4 linked regions of the Tribolium castaneum genome follow. The protein of the gene in region 4 purifies or fractionates together with the protein of the main gene of each other region. This does not show direct contact. Links are inferred from orthologs where the notes say so. Each region holds a gene or a part of one and is shown on either strand. Other genes may lie near its edges.

Region 1 (5,052 bases), about 1.3 Mb from region 4:
TACGACAATACCCCACTGCTGGGGACTGATCCTGGGGATTATATTCATGCTGAGGAATTTTTGAAGAAAGAGGGCAAAAATGGAAAAATTGGGACGTTGTCCAAGTCAGAGTGGGAGGCTTCTTGTAAGTTGATATTTATTTAAATCACTTGTGAGGTGACTGTTTTTTGCAGCCTTGTATATGCTGTTTGTCTTTGAAAAGGTGAAGAATACGTGGAATACGGATGGCACACCTGTTTATGATATATAAGTAGTAAACCAAATGTACAGTTTTAGTACAAGAAGACTATTATTTATTGAAATAATAAAACTGGTGACTTTTATATATTGTTTCATTTTTTAATGTATAAGAAATAATATCGGTGTAATACTAATAGTCAAATCATTTGGAGACCAAGGCAATTTTTTCAAATTTTTTTGTTACTGCACATTTTAAACCACTGCTATAGTACTGCTTTATGGATTATTCCTTTTTTTTATTATTCTTAGGTGTGCCGTTTTAAGGAATTTGCGAGTTCGAAAAAAATAATGAACCTGAACACGAAGCAAAAAAAATATTAAAAAAATAGATTCCACCTATAATTTGCTTGTACAGTGGGCCGCAAAAATATGGAATAATCTTATTAAACAGAATTTAAAATTTTTGTCTTGGTTTTCGAATAACGTCGCTATCGACACATTTTTTTTATGAAAACCTCTAATTTTCTTTGATCGTTTCAATAAATTACATGTTACATCTTATCTTACGTTTAAATACTACCAAAAAACAACACAATAAATTTGTTATTTCACCAAATGATCATGGAAATAGATTTCAAACAAAATCTTAATAACTTTTTTTGTTAAGAGTATTTTTATCAGTTCTTTCGTTTTTCTTTTAAATATATTAAGTAGACAACTAAATTTAGAAGACTTGCCGCTCACTGTATACATTGTACAAATATTTTATCTATTATATTTGAAGCTTATTCCTCTTTTCTGAAATATATTTGAAAAGAGTTCCGGTATTCTCAATATTCAAGCGTTTATCGTGGGCGATGTCAATCTCATATTTTTCAGGATTCGTTTCTATTGAAATCAATACGTTTTCAGTAAATAGTTATAAAAAATTGCTACATTTATGATTTTACTTGTCTAAAAGTAGAACTGAATAGCATTTCTAAATAATTTTAAATGCCATTTAAAGCATACAAAAAAATAGCAGCTGAAAATAAATTCTAGAAGTTCGGTTTTCAAGACGTCAGCCGAGTCTTATTTGAAAATAATGCCACAAATCAAATCTCTGTTTAATTTTTTACCAAATAGAAAAAACCCGAAGTCGATTGACATTGCAGTTTTGCTTTCAGGCGCTTTAAAACGTTTACACTTTAAGTAAATATTTTAAAAATTGTTGGTCTTAAAGTGGAACGCGGAACATTTTTCTCTTTGATGTAAGGAGTAAGCTATTTCTGGTGCTATTTCTAAAAGAGGTAACAAAAGGAAACAATTCGAATGAGTTTTCCCAGAAAGTCAGGTAAACCTGACAATAATAGAAGAAATTTTTGAAACAACAATAGGTAGCTTTTCTCAGCTCGAACTAAATTTACACGTGTTATGTGGGAGGAGGTAAAAAAAGTGTATTCGATGATCTTGTTCGAAATATTACAATGCAACAAGTGCACAATACTTTACGTAACCGTCCCATTAAACATTAATTCCAAAAAACGGTCCGCAAAAGCTGTGCATGAACCCAAAAGTGCGCTCATCCTCTGACTCATCATCGATTAAAGCCATGAACTTTCTCCCGAATCTCTGCAATAAATTTCAAGCAGCTGACTGTGACATTCGTCTACTTTTCAAGTTCAAAGTTGAACGCACGAAATTCAAATCCTGGCGCGCTACAGGTTATTGCCTCTGAGTGCGGCGCGTGCGCACTACGCAAAATCGCGTACTTTGTCATAAAAGCGTTCGCTGCGTTTCCCCAACGAGGATTCTAAGTGTTTGCCTCGTTCAATCTGTGAAGCGATGGAAGTCGAAAACGGAGCAAATGGGGAAGATTCCAGTCCTGTAAGTACAAAATCTCGCCTAGAATTTAATTCCGCGAATTTCGGCTCGTCCACATTTTCCCGCTTGTGTGAAATAAGGGCGCTTTCCTCGTGCTCTAACAGCGTTCGAGCGAAATTTTTCTAAGTCCCAAAATGGCGTCAGAGACTAAGTCCCACGTTTGTGGCATCAGGTCTAGAATTTTCTCGCGATAAACCGAGATTACGCATTTAAACGGCTTCTTTTCGCTGCTTTCGGTTCAATTGGGGCGAAATCGAGGGGGGCTCCATTTATAATTTGCACGTTTTTTGGTGCAGAGCCACAAGATGAAGGAGTATAACAGCGATACGGCCCAAGTGAACGGCATAAACGGCTACTCGGACAAGAAGAGCCACAAATCGGAGCATAAAGACAAGCACAGAGACAAGGACCGGGAGCGAGACAAGGAGAAAAGTAAAAGCAAAGAGCACAAGAGCTCGAAGGATAAAGACCGGCATAGCTCCAGTTCGAAGGACAAAGACCGAGATAAGGAACGCCACAGTTCACACAAGTCCTCAAGTCGGGACAAGGAGCGCAGCGACAAGGACAAACACCGCGACAAGGACAAGCACCGGGACGAGAAAAAGTCCTCGAAGGACAAGGAAAAGGAGCACAAAAGCTCGCACGATAAGGACCACAAGTCGAGCTCGAAAGACAAGGAGCGCAAGGATAAAGACAAGCACAGCTCCTCGAAGGATAAGGACAAGGACCGCCACAGCAGCTCCAAAGACAAGCACAGAGACAAGGACAAGCATCATTCCAGCTCCAAAGATAAAGACCGGAAGGACAAGAACAAGGAGCGGAAGAGCGAGAAAGAATCGGAGAAATCCTACGGTAATTTAACTTTTACCTCATTTGCTAAAAAATTATTTCCAGAGGGCGTAAAGCATAAAACACATCTGCAAAAATGGCCAAGGGTTTGTATCCAAATTTTCCTAACTAAAATTTTAACAAAAGTAGTGGCTATTGTCAGTTTTTGTAGGTGTTATTTTTTGCTCTAGGCCTAAACCTTGCACTCTTTAACTAAAAATGTTAAGTTTGAGCACAGTTTCATCGTATTGTTATTGTTTTATTGTGTCCATAGTTTCGAGTCAGTTTGATTTGACAAAATTTTTGTAAATACAAATTTTTAGAACGCTCGAATCATTATTTTCAACATGAGGTAAATAAAAACCTACTCGAGTTTTTAATCACTGTAATGGCTTGCAGGTATGTAGATAAGGCATGTTTGAAAAATGTAACCATCTTCGTAATTGTGGACGAAAATCAATGTTTTTTGACGCAAGCTGGTACGTAATTTTAATTGTCTTTAAGTCACTCACCGACAGGACTAATACGGTTTTTGAACGCTTATTTATGCATTATTTAAACAAAAACAATATTCGAAGCTGCTCATGCATTTTTTTGCTTTATATTATGCGAAATAACGAAGACATTGTATTGAATTTTAAAATTTTTGTAACATCCTTTAAGAAACGTGTTTTATCCAAGACATTGAAAAACCAAGCTCACGTCTCACTTTGAAATGCAAACTACGAATGTTCGAAAACAATTCTTATTTTTGCAATAACTAGATTTAGACCATATGTAGGTTGTTTGTTCATTTTGTTGAGGAATAAATACACGAAGACCCGAAACAACTTTCAGTAATTATTGAAATAATTGATTTAATTAATTTATTATGTCGTTTGTTATTCTAAAATGAGCGGTTTTAAGCACCTTGACATTTTTTATCAGTGTTTTAAAATATCAAATGATATATTTGTGATTGTCCCGCATCTCGTTGATGTTAATTAATCATATCTTGTTCATGTGTGATGGAGTCCTTAGTATATAAAAAAAAATCACTTAATCCATCATTAGATCATAATTGGCAACAGTTTATTATTTAGTCAAAATGTTTATTTAATTAACAAATTGTGAATTAAAGGTTTCTTTGCATTTGCTGTAGATATAAATATTATTCTCTGTAATTGGGTTAGCAATTACTCTTTGATATGCAACAATTTGTTAGATAGTTGTTAATTACCAGCAGATTAACTTTCGTATCTTGTTACGATTTGGAAGAAATAAATTAAAAGAATCGGTTCATTACATAATAAAAATTAAACAATTCGGAGTCCAATTTTCTAAAACTTGGCCAAAATCCAATTGGGACAAGTGACAATAATTTTAACTAACCGTAAAATCCAATTTTACACATTTTACGCGAATGGAATGTTGATTAAACAATTTTTTACTGTCAGACGATGAGAGAGAAAAGAAGAGTAAGAACCATTCAAAACATGAAAACGACGTGGGAAGAGAAGATTCCGCAAGAGAGGATTCGGTCGATGAAGATGATAACAAACTCATCATCAAAGAAGAGCCCGAGTCTCAAGATGAAGTCGACGACAAAAATGCTTCAGCTGCGAGCAGCTGTGATTACAATTTGTCTCAGTTTAAATCGGACGAGTCAAGATTTGAAGATAGCACTGCTGATGTGAAGCAGGAAGAAGACAGCGATGAAGATTTGCCTCTGGTAGGTGTTTCATTCAAGTTTATCGTCTTTACGTAAATAAAAATCATACGATTGCTAAGGACAATAATTTGTAATCTTTGTAGTCATTAATGTTCAATTGTATTTTCAGCGAAAACCATTCGCTCACAGACACAGATTGGTAGGTTTTTTGAAGTATTAATGTTTGTTTAGTGGTGTTAACAGTTTTAGTTTGATTTTTGACTAATATTTTGCATGGTGTTGGTATTTTTTTACTGATTTGATGCATTTTTAGTCCGCCAGAATGGAACATACGTCAGTTAAAAGAAAAATTGAGTCGGACGATGAAGATGACATGCCGTTAAATGCGCGAAAGAAGCCAAAAAAAGAGAAGAAGGAGAAATCTGAAAAGAAGAAAAAGAAGAGATCTGTAGAGGATGATGAAGAAGAGTGGGACCGACCAGTGAAAAAAGAGAAAATTAAGAAAGAGAAAGACTCGATCAAGACCGAGA
Region 2 (4,898 bases), on a different chromosome or scaffold from region 4:
ATAACTGTACACTGTACTTTCACTATCATACTGATTGTTAATACTAACCTGAAGACCTAGAACTTGCGTTCCACTTCCGCTATACTTATTACACGATATTTCAAAGAAGTTTTAAAAACGTTTCAAGAATTTTCAATTAAGAACTCTAGTGAGCCCTTTTATGTGACGCTACAATTAATTAAAAACTCATTAGGACGGAAGAATGTGAATAGACAACCAGATCAATGGCCCAGATACAAAATTGTACGCTCGGATGCATCAAACATAACATTAAATTACGACGGTTTGAACCGGATTTCTATTGTAATTTTAGGAAAAACAATAATTACAATTGAAACGCTATTGTTATTGATAGTTAGTACTGCGAAATTGCTTTGTGATAACATTATTAATTGGAGCAGATAAGGAAAATCACATTTTATAAGAGCGCCTTACCTCGAACTTTGTTTAAAAAATTAGATGTGGAGCGTCATCGTCTCACTGACATTGAATTAATTTTTGTAATTTCCTGCCGTCTTTCATACCCACTCAGCTTCAGAAAAACATCGTCGCACTAACACTGCAATTACAGTACAAGCGACAACAACCTTCCAATTAACTAAACACACCGTGGAAGAAAATGCAATGTATTATAACCACTTGTTTGTTTACAACACTCTCCCGCACAAGAGAATGAAGCCGAACAATAAATAATCTGCTACAACCTTGACTCGCAATTAACAATCACAATAAACCAATTACTACATTTTGGTGTAATTTAGCCTTTGTTTAAATAATGATAACAAAAGAGCCAGAATTTATTTATGAGTCAACAGTCTTCAAAAACCGCAACTAGCACGTCCCACTTGTGCAAGCAGATTTCTAAAAGTAGATTGGGTTTTCACTTTTCAACTAACAATAGGCGGTTAAAAGTTTATTGTCCGGTTCAAATGGAATTAAATGTCACTTAATAATTCGGGTGACGACGTCGCGGCGCCTAGGAAAGCCTTCGACTAGACCGGCCGTCTGCGCAAACTAAAAATAGGGAAATGATCCGATTTTCACTATTTTTATCTAGTTTTCACGGTTTTGGGTTACATAATGTCATCAAAAGAAAATTATTTATGGTTGACTATGTTTAGAGAGCGGAGCGCAAATCGGTCATTTTTATTTTCAGAAAAAAATTATAGTGTTTATACAGAGATTTTTATTGGAAACACATCCACACTTTTCGAAAAGTTGCAACAAACGTGCTGAACATTTTCAAAAAAAACTTTAATAAGCAGCTAAAAAGCTATCCTAATGAGCTCAAAAAAATAAATAAAAATAATAAAAATAATAATAATAATAATAATAATAATAATAATAATAATAATAATAATAATAATAATTTTGGAGAAAGAAGAATTGCTGATGTTAAAAAACGCTCTTAGCAGGTTTGAAAAGAAGTAATACATTAATGTAGAAGATTGTAGAAGATTTATAATGCCGGGCGGAGTCTTAAACTGCCTATTTTGAAAATGCCAAGTTGAAAAAAATCTTGGAAAAAGTCTCATTTAATAAGTTAAGACACACATGAATGCAAAAGTGCAAAAGTTATTACATAATATGTTGATTAATGAAGTTGATATGAAATTTTGATAACGGTACATTGTATTGAAAATAAAAAAAACATTTTATAAGTGAATATTTTTGATTAATTAATACTACTGTATGGATAGAAAAAAATACAGGGTGAGCGCGAGGGTGAGTTATTTTTGATTTTTTCTTGGATGCAACCCCGTTTGCGTGTGTGATAAGTTGTGCACGCCGTTCTGAGGTTTAACTGTAGTTAAAAAATCCCACTTGTAATTTTCAAACTTAGCGGTTAAAGCTGTCATTTAATGCCGTCACTTTCCGCTAGATGAGCCCAACATCAACTCTTTTTTCGCGTAGATGAAGTAGCGTAAGCGTGGCTAATCAAGGTACAAAGAGGTAAAATTCTCAAATATTTCTTTCCCCGATCACAATTTAGCCCTAATCTCGTCATTTGCCAACCCTCCACATCCCTTCTAAGCCCAAAAATGGGAAATTAACGTCGTAGTTGTGTCACAAATGTCATTAAACGTAATCTAAACATAGGGTTGGACAGCCACAACCGTCTCAAAATTCCAATTTTCTAAATAAATCGGAAATGTTTTAGGAAAATGAGCAGCTCAGAGGAGGTTTCGTGGATTTCATGGTTTTGCGGACTTAGAGGAAATGAATTCTTTTGCGAAGTAAATGAATTTGCCTGTTTTAAAGACGAGATTTTTGAGTGTATTTGCAGGTGGATGAGGATTATATACAGGACAAATTTAACTTGACGGGCTTGAATGAGCAAGTTCCGCACTACAGGCAAGCTCTTGATATGATACTAGACTTAGAACCGGGTATTTTGAACCCATCCCTGGTTTCACATTTTTTTAACTCGGCTTTTTAGATGATGAACTTGACGATAATCCGAACCAATCCGACCTGATTGAGCAAGCGGCCGAGATGCTTTATGGGTTAATACACGCTAGGTACATTTTAACAAATCGGGGGATCGCCCAAATGATTGAAAAATACCAGTCTGGGGATTTTGGGTATTGTCCACGAGTTTACTGCGAATCGCAGGCAATGCTGCCTTTGGGTAACCCCAACACTTTTGGTATTTTTTTGGGTAATGGTTTGTGCTTTAGGGCTGTCTGATGTACCTGGGGAGGCAATGGTCAAGTCATATTGCCCCAAATGTATGGATGTGTACACACCAAAGTCTTCAAGGCACCACCATACAGATGGGGCCTATTTTGGGACAGGTTTCCCTCACATGCTCTTCATGGTGCACCCAGAATACAGGCCAAAGCGTCCAACAAATCAATTTGTTCCTAGGTATAGCCGAACTGGCGTGAGTCTAATTGAAAGTCTGGTCAAGAGTGCTTGGCGAATTTAATATTGTCAGTTATCAAGTGACAACTGAGAAGTCAAAACCTACTTCATTTCGGAATTTTTGGGATGTTACGTATAATAATCCTCAATAACTTTACACGAAACGAAAAATTAGTCATTTTTTTATTTCGTTGTTTTTAAAGCATTGTCTTGACCCCGCTTTTATTTAGACTCACTTGATTTTTTTAGAATTGTTCTTCAACAAATGATTTCAGGTTATTTGGTTTTAAAATTCATCCCCTTGCTTACCAGTTGCAACAGCAAGCAGCCTCGACTTTTAAGGCGCCTCTGAGAAGTTTGAACTTTAATAATGGTAAACGTTAATTTAAAAGGTGTATACATTTGATTTAATTTATTTCTACCCCAAATTTGTGTATTCTTGTATGTATGAAATTAAATCTTGATTATTTTCTTTCATACTTTTGTATGGCGTTAACTTTGCATAAGGTTAAAAATGTGCAAAAATTCCATCATTTTTATAAATAGGGTTCAATGTATAATAAATTTCCCAGTTTTGTTTTTATAAATGTAAGGATAGTTTAATTTAGAAGCGTCACCGGTTTCGTGTAAAATTAACTAGCATTCAAGTTTGTAAATAACTGATTAAAAAATTCAGATGAGTTGGTGTGTCATGCCTGAGCTTAATTAGTAAATAGAGTGGTCAAAAGTCTGAATTTTTCAATCACACAGCGTAATCTAAGATGTATAAATAACACATTTTAAATAAAACATAGGAAGCAAACCTAGGTTCTGTATTTTTACTTAAGGTAATCACAACCAAGACTAAGTTATGAATTCGCATGTTATCAAATAAAATTTTCTGTTTTTCGTAAGAATCTTTATTTGACCCATTACATAAATAAAACACAGATCAAAATAAACTTATATTTACGCCTTAAACAAAAATTTATCTACAAACACACGCGCGCCTACTGGAACGAGTAGCCCCCGTTCTGTTGCCCCCTCAGCTGGGAGGGGTCCTCCATGGGGGGCATCTGCGGCTGGAACTGCTCCGCTGACAACCTAGTGAACAAAATCCCGACTCCTTCAATTAAAGCTAACAAAACGCCCCCAATGAAGGCGCTCCCGGCCATGGCCGGGAGCCCGTTTCTCGCCGCGAGGATGCCCCCAGTCGCGGCCCCACTTATAATGGAGTTCCAGGGGTCCTCCTTTTTCCTAATGTGGATTAGGGCGCAGTCAATTGTGGAGAACATGCCGCCCCAAACGGCAAAGTTGCCGGCGATTATAGGGGACCGTTGCTTGATAGCAGCCAAACTGCCAACCTAAAACGCAAAATCACCACGGGCTTGTGAAAGGGGGCACATACAAATCGTCTGTTGAAACCCGAAGGGGCGTTGCGAAAGCCTTTAATGCTCTGGAAAACGCCGCCGCCGATGAGCCCCATAGTGAAGGCGCCCCCACAATCGTCCACGATCCTCCAGGGGCATGGCTCACGCGTGTATTCCTCCATCAAAAGTGACCTAACCATAAAATTACAGAAAAAAAAATGATTTGGGGGTTGATTTTTCGTAGTCACGTACCTCGCACGTGTGGAATTATAATTTCAGGCGATTTTTGGTCAATTGAGTCACTGTTTGCATTAAATCTGTGGTTTTTTACAAACCGTCCGCATTCACTTTGACTGGAGGTCGAAAGATCGAATCATGTCATAACACCGTTTTGAAATTTTCCATTTAATATTTACCCCTTGGTTGGGTCTTTAAACTGTGTGAATGCCACGATTTGGTCAATTTCGGGCCAAATTTTGAAAATTTCGTTTTTTTACTTTTGATTTTGAGGTTATTTGGCGGCAAATTTGAAATTTCAAAGTTACCATGCATTTTCTAAAAATAAAACCATCTTCCGAGTCACCTAGAAATCTATTAATACGCCCTTTCCGACTAATTTTCCACGCTTTACAACGCACTTTACAACACTACCAAAGATGTCCCAAAATATGGAGACTCAAA
Region 3 (4,437 bases), on a different chromosome or scaffold from region 4:
TTAGATAACGAAGCCTCAGGGGCGGAGCACAGCCACTGTCACAAGGCAGTAGCGTAGATGTAATCGAAAACACTTCGGTAAAAATTATAGGGGCTTTCACGAATTATTCTCAAAATTTTAACAATTACGCCTATCACTTTCTTCAAAATAAATAAAAGTACAACAAAACCCACATAAAACCTAGACTCGCGCTCATTACAGTATTATTACAATGTAAAATGAAGCTACTAGCTCGCTTTGGACGTTTTTTTATGTATTTTGAGGAATCGAATTCTTATTACAAAAATTCTACAGTGAAACCTCGTTATCCGAATTTAAAAAAGTAAAATTCGAGTTAAGGCGAATTCGTGTACACACTTCGCTCAGACTTTTTTTTGCTTTTACGCCAGTATTACTAATAAATTAAATTACTAATAAATCCTAATAAACATTTCACTAACCACAAGCGATGTCATAAAATTGACAGAAATAACACTTCAGAACCGGTGAGAGTGTAACGTATCTGTAGCCATGGGGGTACATTTTGAGACACACTGTACAGCACCGCTTTTATTACACTGTGTTTCGATCTACATTTATCGAAGCGACACGTAAGAAATGACAAAGGCGTTTTTTTCACCGCTTAAACTTATCTGTGCGTTCAAATCCACACAGGGACAAGTCACAATCCCTTGTAAGTGCCATTTTTAAGTCAAATTACTAAGCGTACTAGGCGTAATGAATGTGAGGTTATACATACCATTTTTTCGGTGAATTGGGACGGGGTTGCACTTTGCACTGTTAAACCCACACAAAGTGAATTATTGCAACAGTTTCGATGTAATATTCAAATTAAGTTGTGTACCGCACTGCTATCACTACATTGTCTAGTAGGGGGTGCCAACGTTGAAAACTCAAAAACCACGCAATGTTCACTAGCAAAATATAAAAACAAACATAAAAAAACACCCAGGCACACATTTTCACATATAAATTAACAAATTTACAAGTTTTGGTGGCGGGATTTCAACAAGTATGTGGACGCGAGATGGCGGTATAATCGTCCGGGACGTTTCTGTTCTCTGATTGGCTGTTGGTGTATAATACAATACTCGGAAATATTAGAAGATTAATTTTTTCCGACGTGATATATGCGTACAGATAGTGTTGTTTTGAATTACTAAGTGTTAGCTTTGTATTACAAAGGTTATTATATTTTTTTTCGTCTGTCGTGGATCTAGTTACGTGCATCCGTGAGACCCGAAATTGGCGCCCTGATTGACAGTTGTCTTGACTAATCAGAATCTTTCTAGACTATGCTAGAAGACAAGTTGAAAGCAACCGACTTTGAAGCCACCAACGAAGCCATCGAAGAACAGGTAGCTCGCGAGTCCTACATCCAATATTTTCGCGACTCAGAACGCCGTTTGAAGAACCAAGGACACTCCTGTGGTAGCAGTTCAACGATAACATCAGCAACCATGTCCAGCTCGCGCTCGTCGAGGAAAGGCTCGGTCTCCCCGAAGGGATCGCAGTCCCCCAAAGGGTCCAACTCGCCAAAGACAACACCACTAGGTACTCAAGTGTGAGTCGATGGCGTTTTTTAACATTTCCTTGCAGCGAGCCCCCGAGGCGCTGGGGCGCCGTCCCCATCGACTAGCCGCTATGAGGCCGACGTCAGCGGGGGCGATGTGGCGGGAGCCTGCGGTGGACCACCGGAGGAATTTCCGAAATTTTCGCCGCGCCGTTCTGAGCCCCCGGCCGAGGATGTTAATAACCCGGACTATGATGAAAATTTCAACGAGGACTTTAAATTTGATTTTGATTCCGATTCGGATCAGTCGGCTGGGGCCGGGCCATCAAACCGCGGTGATATAGGTTTGTCTGATTTTTGCTTCAAACAAAATGGACGTCGATTAAGTGCATTTTTCGGACAAAAATTGATATTTTAGCGATTTTTTCAGCTAGCCCTCCGGCCAAATGCGCTGCTTCATCGCAGGATAATCGAGTTATTACGGTAGGGTTAGCTTAGAAAAATTCTAAGCCCACATGTAATTGGGCAAAAATCGTGGTTCCTGAAGAGATTAGAGCTTGTAAAAGCTGTAGGTACAGCTAAATGGACCACCTATATTTTTTGCATTTTTGGATGCAGCTTTTAAAACTAATGACTTTGACTTTTATTTTTTTGAACTTTTGAACTTTTATTATTTTATTATACTTGTTATTATATTTTTTCACTTAGTAACATTATCATTTACAATTTTTCTTCATGTGTCACTCGCTATAACATACTACAATTTAATTACGTTATTGTAATTTAAAGTATCTGACAATTTAAGATATATTCTTTGGGGAAGCTTTTAAAAAAACATGGAATATTATTTTGTACTTTTTGCATATTGTGAGTGATTAAATTTAAAAAATATACAGAGCACTTAAAAACTGGCGCACCACGTTCTTGAGAAGCAAATGTAGATTACAGGAAAAATCTTAAAAAATTCCTACATTTATATTATAAAAAATATGGGCATACAAATTTACTTTGTTGACTCTTTTTTAATGTTTTTATGTTTCACACTTCCGATACCGGCTGTTAGACAATGATGCCACATATTTGACAGTCACAATTTAAGACAATTTAAAGAAAACACACATTAAAAATCTCCTTTTTATTTATTTTTCCAGAGCCACACGTAATTGAAAAAAATATTTACCGTTACATTCTGTTGTACGAAAAAAAACAAGCAATCTTAAGTATTATACATTATACAACCAAACAGCATATTAAATATCAATAAAAAATGCATTATTCTTTTTACTATTATTTACTTCCCTTTTTTCATTCTCATTTTTTTTGTTTCATTTACATTTTATTTATCTCATTTACTCTTTTTTCCTATTTAAGCATGGTTATGAATGTTTTATTCTCGTATTTTTTTTGCCCGGCGAATCGATTTAGATTTATTAAAATAAAATTTCGCTAAAATGTCAACTTTTGTCATCAAGCCGAAAACATCTGGCGGAAATGCACGGAAATATTTAATTTTAAAATGTGTGTGACTTTTACAGATTACGACAATTATGACCAGGAAATCATGGCCCAAGTGCTGGCCGAGTCGCGCAAAACTTACTTAGCTGAACTTAAGCAGCGATCCAAGAAGCGTCATGGATCTCCGGGACCATCCACTTCATCCTAGTTTAAATACTAAATTAATTGAGTTACATGTTCGTGCTTTCGTTTCATTTTTAGTTAATTAAGGTTCATTGTTTGCTTTTCAAGGTATGCAATTGCTTTGTTTTGTTATATAAAATGCATATCTTGTAAAATTGTATTGGCATGTTATAATCGTTTTTTAGTTAAAACGACCTTCCTCCACCCAGAAGATTAGTTTCGTTTTTTTGGAGAAAGAGCTTTCGTTTCTAGTACCGTAGTTTCGATTTTGCATGGATTGTGGGGGGGTCGTTTGTAAAAAAAAATTCAAAATGTTATATTTTGAGACACTGTTTCACGGATGTAAGTTTCGCCCTCTAAATTTCAGTGTCAAAAAGTATTTTATTTATGTTTTCAGATATCTATAAGTATATGTACTTATGAGTTCCAATGTATTTCAGTTTCGTTCAAATAAAATTGTTGTGATATTTGGCGTTTCATAATTGGACTAATCATGGTCACACCCAAAATTAAGACAACCAAGGTTGTTGCATACCAAATTATAGGTATTTCGTCACGTCGTTAAATATTTTGCCCTCAAAACAGAATAATTAACGTGGATGCTCCACTCAGGTAATTTGTATGCATATTAGGAAGAAAATATTTAGCAACATCGTAATGTACTTAACATGCATATCCCATAATGGTGTGCTTGGATTACTTAATTACAATGCCAAAAGAGAAATTCGCTAAGAAAAATATTATTTGAATTAATAACAGGGGCGGGCCTAGGACAGCTTGACTAACATGTGCGTGTTGCCAATTTGCGCACGCGTGTGCCATGGCCACCTATTGCCAATTTAAATTTTCGTCACAAACGACCGGCTATGTTCAATAATTTGGGAAAATATGGTGACTGTTCGGCGGGATTTGCCCCATTCTCTGAATTTCGTTGGTTATTTGTGCCAACTTGTGTTTTGTTTACATGACGTGGGGTTGCTCTCTGTCTTGTAGCTGGTGGAGGGGCGAATGTGCGGAGTCCGGGCCTGGCGGAGGCGCTGTTGCCAGTTGGTGTTGTTCAGGCAGTGATTTTGAGAAAAATAAGGAGAATATCGGTTGGTGGAGTCCAGTGCTAGTCCGAAATGCACTTATTTCGGTAAATGTGTGATATGAAGGCGTTTGGCGAGCTCGGGGTGAAGACCTTTGATACTAGAGTTCGGTTTGTTGTTGGTAGCAGTAGTCGGTAAGACGTTGTAATTTTGACGGTTGTGTGGCAGCTAGGCTATCAGTGTACAGTTTTATCGCAG
Region 4 (3,359 bases):
GGGACTTTTCGTCCGCTTTGCCGCTGCTTGAAAACAATTTTAAACTACTAAACAAATTTTATACTGATCGGTCGCCGGTCGTGCTTATCGCTTTATGTAGACTGTTAGGGTGCTGCATGTCAATTCCCGAGTGTTCACAATGCCAAAAATGGGCTGATTTAGCCCTACATAGATATGAGGGGGTTAGTGATAGTGATTTGTTGGAGTTGTATGTACCTTTATTGAATGCTTGTATCACAATTTGGTGGCAGAATGGACGAAATAAAGATCTGCTTGAGCAGCGGTTGCAAGATTTGAAGAGACAAGGGGTCAAAATCAATCCGCAATCGACTTTGTTGGACGAAGTGAAGGCAGTGGAGGGAAAGATATTTGGGTTGTAGCAATTTTCACACCAGTGTTGTGTACTTAATTAGCATCGCGATATTTTACTGATATTGTTAACGTATTTATTTTGGAGTTTTATTTGTTTGACGACTGATATTTGCAGTTATGGGTAGCAATACTCAATATTTTCTGTTTTATTCACGCCTGAATATACATCTTGTTTATTTGCTTTTTGTTTTAGTACTTTGAGCAAAAAATAGATAATAATTTTTTTTTTGTACTTACACCGCGGGATAACTCACTCATACAACTTAAGTAGACCAAAAGTCCTCTCTGTTGTAAATATACCCACTTACCTCTCCCCAAAAATTCCAATTTCTTGCCAAATTTACAGCCGTAAAACGCCGTCAGTTTGTCATCAAGCAACAGCATTTGGTCTTTTCAAATTTATTACATGTTTTGCAATAACTTCATAAAATGTAATACACGAAAACTAAGAATTCCGTGCAAATTAAACCACGGTTTATATCAAAAGTTTAATCTGTACATTCAGTGGAAAGAACTTAGCCTGAACGAAACACAGAACTTGAAACACAAATCTCTAACATAAAAATAACTTATACAAATACAACGGTAAAAACAACTTCCTCGAATTACTTCTTCGACTTCTTGGACTTGTGTTTATCGCTGCTCTCCTCCCGACTGCGCTTTTTCGAATCCGAATGCGAGCTTCTGTGATGGCGGTCCTTGTCTTTCGAGGGTGAAGATTTCGATTTCGAACTTGAAGAAGATTTACGCCTATCACTATCTCTGCTGCTATGTTTCGAACTCGAATGTTTGCTACTTGAGGAATGATGGTTGTTTGAATGTTTGCTCGGCGAGCCTTTGTGGTTGCTTTTACTCGACGAGTGTTTGCTGGGTTTGCTCGACTTGTGATGCGACTTTTTCCGGTCGAAAGTATCGTCGAAATTGCGTTCCCGGTCCTCCTCGGCTGCTTCCCGCTCCAGGTCGGACCAGTCCTTCCCGGATTCTTCATCAGATCCTAGATCGTCCTCCCCGGAAGCGCTTTCGTCACTCTCCTCAGTGTCGCCTTCAGAGTATTCGGAATCTTCCTCGCTTTCTTCCGACACGCTTTCCATGTCGGTCGGTTCGTAAACTTCGTCCTCGTCCTCCGTTTCCTCCTCTTGGGCCTGGGCTTCTTCGTCCGATTCCGGGTCCAGGAACGTCCATCCGCCGCTTTCGAAAAATCCCTCGGGATCATCGGTGATTGTTTTCATGATTTTGACCCAGTTTAACGACTGGACACCTTCGGAGTAGCGGATGTCGCAAGAGTTGAGCCATTCTTTGACATGGTCCAGCATATTCATCGGGATGGCGTTCACCATTGCGGTTTTGCGTTGGTAGTCCTTGAAGACGAAAATCATATCGAAGTTTTTCAAATGGAATTGGACTCTTTCGAAGTGGACTAATTCGACGTCTTCGAGCGTAATTACGAACGGGGGCCATTCGGTTAAATTGACGAGGCAACCCGACGTCGGCTGGAGTAATACTGTGGACCTGTAGGGGGCTCCGGGAAAGCCGAGCTCCCGGAACGGCGTATCGAACTCGATTTCTTGTTTTGTCATCGCTTCGACCTAAAAATACGAAACACACAAATAAAAACACAAACAATCAGCTTATGAACCCACCTTTTCGCAAAAGCTCTTGAACGCCGTCTTCAGCTTGTGCCTCAACTCCCTCTCAGACTGCTCAGCAGCCAAATCATCCCTATCATGCATATGCTGGTGTTTGCCTAAATCAGTCGTGATTTCACCTACTTCCGTGTAAAACTGCACGTCCACGTGCTTCTTTTTCCCGAACATGATCGCATGCTTCAGGTGAAAATGCAAAAGTATGATCATTTCACCGTCGCAAGGTTGAAAGAATGCATTCTTAATATTATTGTATAAAATATCAACTTTGTCGCCTCTGACTGAAGTGTACCGGAAACCGTTACTGTGAGCTTCCAAAGCGCCGGTCATACGCTTTGTGACGATATTAGGTCGTATGTAAAGATCTTTAAGCTTGGGATTGCCCTTGTTCTGCGACAAGACCAGCGTGTCTTGTTTAACAAGATCTTCTTTTTCGCGTTCTTCCGCTTCGCGGGTTTTGAATTTTCGTTGTACTTCCTTGATTAGTCGGAATGCAGTGTTTAGGTTCGAAGAGGGAGGGGAAATTTCTCCGGGCTCTTTGGTGTTCAAACTGCGGTAGGTAACTTCTTTGACGAAAGTGGCTTCAGGCTGCTGGTAGTTGCCACCTTGAAGTAATAAACAACCACAGTTAAAATGAAAATTCATAGATACAAACTGTGGCGTCATCTCAGCTAAGACACCCTTTCATAACAAATACTTTTTAAATCATTCTTATTCGTTTTTGAAAAAGTGCAAAAGTGTAATTTTTCAAATATGTACAATTAACTGATGATAAGATGAGACGATGAAAGGATTTATCGAAAAATTGTTCGTTTTTATGGCACTATTTATAAATATAGTGGCAGGACTTCGGCACTGTATTATTACGACGTACAGTGATTGTGAATAACGCCACAAAAAATGGACCAATATTCTTAAAAAGGAATAATTTTTTACGGTAAATACCAGCGTCACATCGTGTGACAACATAACGCAAAATGTTTGCATCTTAATTCGATTTATTCAAATTTTTGATAATATTTTTACAGTACTTTCCTTGAATTCCACAAATAATTTAGATCAAATTAAAGTGAAAAATTACAAAAAAATAGAGGAGGTACAGTCAGATGTGTAAAATATCTGATTAAAAATTCGTCATAATTAATCGCGACTTCTCGACTGCAACTCAAAAAATGTTAAATTTTGGTGTATTAAACTTTTAAATCGTCAAAGAATCGACCAATAAAAGTTTAACTTGCAAACAGAATTACAAGTTACAGCAAAGAACTAAAGATATTACACATTTCGTTTAAAAACATTAAACTTGTAATTTTTATTTGGAAAACCATAATTTCAGGTGATGCA

Evidence for each region.
Region 1: the proteins of dre4 (region 4) and Top1 fractionate together in Homo sapiens (co-fractionation; 3 studies listed by BioGRID and IntAct, with this or other methods). This does not show direct contact. The link is inferred for Tribolium castaneum from reciprocal best matches to the Homo sapiens genes SUPT16H and TOP1.
Region 2: the proteins of dre4 (region 4) and CkIIbeta fractionate together in Homo sapiens (co-fractionation; 4 studies listed by BioGRID and IntAct, with this or other methods). This does not show direct contact. The link is inferred for Tribolium castaneum from reciprocal best matches to the Homo sapiens genes SUPT16H and CSNK2B.
Region 3: the proteins of dre4 (region 4) and Duba purify together in Homo sapiens (affinity purification with mass spectrometry; 3 studies listed by BioGRID, with this or other methods). This does not show direct contact. The link is inferred for Tribolium castaneum from reciprocal best matches to the Homo sapiens genes SUPT16H and OTUD5.

Annotation. Positions count from the first base shown.
Region 1 is NC_087398.1:8,304,345-8,309,396, forward strand, and holds the start of Top1 (DNA topoisomerase I, mitochondrial), read left to right. Parts: upstream 1-1,898; 5' UTR 1,899-2,004; coding exon 2,005-2,046; intron 2,047-2,339; coding exon 2,340-2,895; intron 2,896-3,070; exon of another isoform or gene 3,071-3,218; coding exon of another isoform or gene 3,219-3,223; intron 3,224-3,270; coding exon of another isoform or gene 3,271-3,350; intron 3,351-4,307; coding exon 4,308-4,582; intron 4,583-4,691; coding exon 4,692-4,721; intron 4,722-4,835; coding exon 4,836-5,052. Other genes in the region: Rnmt (mRNA cap guanine-N7 methyltransferase), read left to right, coding at 1-124, 174-250. UniProt on the Homo sapiens protein: Releases the supercoiling and torsional tension of DNA introduced during the DNA replication and transcription by transiently cleaving and rejoining one strand of the DNA duplex.
Region 2 is NC_087397.1:979,344-984,241, forward strand, and holds CkIIbeta (casein kinase II subunit beta), read left to right. Parts: upstream 1-1,809; 5' UTR 1,810-1,953; intron 1,954-2,161; 5' UTR 2,162-2,165; coding exon 2,166-2,237; intron 2,238-2,287; coding exon 2,288-2,390; intron 2,391-2,440; coding exon 2,441-2,632; intron 2,633-2,681; coding exon 2,682-2,871; intron 2,872-3,143; coding exon 3,144-3,252; 3' UTR 3,253-3,756; downstream 3,757-4,898. Other genes in the region: mitochondrial import inner membrane translocase subunit Tim17-B, read right to left, coding at 3,858-4,211, 4,256-4,399; probable DNA double-strand break repair Rad50 ATPase, read left to right, coding at 4,874-4,898. UniProt on the Homo sapiens protein: Regulatory subunit of casein kinase II/CK2.
Region 3 is NC_087403.1:2,189,149-2,193,585, forward strand, and holds the end of Duba (OTU domain-containing protein 5-A), read left to right. Parts: intron 1-1,292; coding exon 1,293-1,554; intron 1,555-1,599; coding exon 1,600-1,857; intron 1,858-3,048; coding exon 3,049-3,176; 3' UTR 3,177-3,618; downstream 3,619-4,437. UniProt on the Homo sapiens protein: Deubiquitinating enzyme that functions as a negative regulator of the innate immune system. Has peptidase activity towards 'Lys-48'- and 'Lys-63'-linked polyubiquitin chains. Can also cleave 'Lys-11'-linked ubiquitin chains (in vitro).
Region 4 is NC_087398.1:7,050,743-7,054,101, forward strand, and holds the end of dre4 (FACT complex subunit spt16), read right to left. Parts: intron 2,621-3,359; coding exon 2,013-2,620; intron 1,959-2,012; coding exon 978-1,958; 3' UTR 847-977; downstream 1-846. Other genes in the region: Snx21 (sorting nexin-21), read left to right, coding at 1-380. UniProt on the Homo sapiens protein: Component of the FACT complex, a general chromatin factor that acts to reorganize nucleosomes. The FACT complex is involved in multiple processes that require DNA as a template such as mRNA elongation, DNA replication and DNA repair.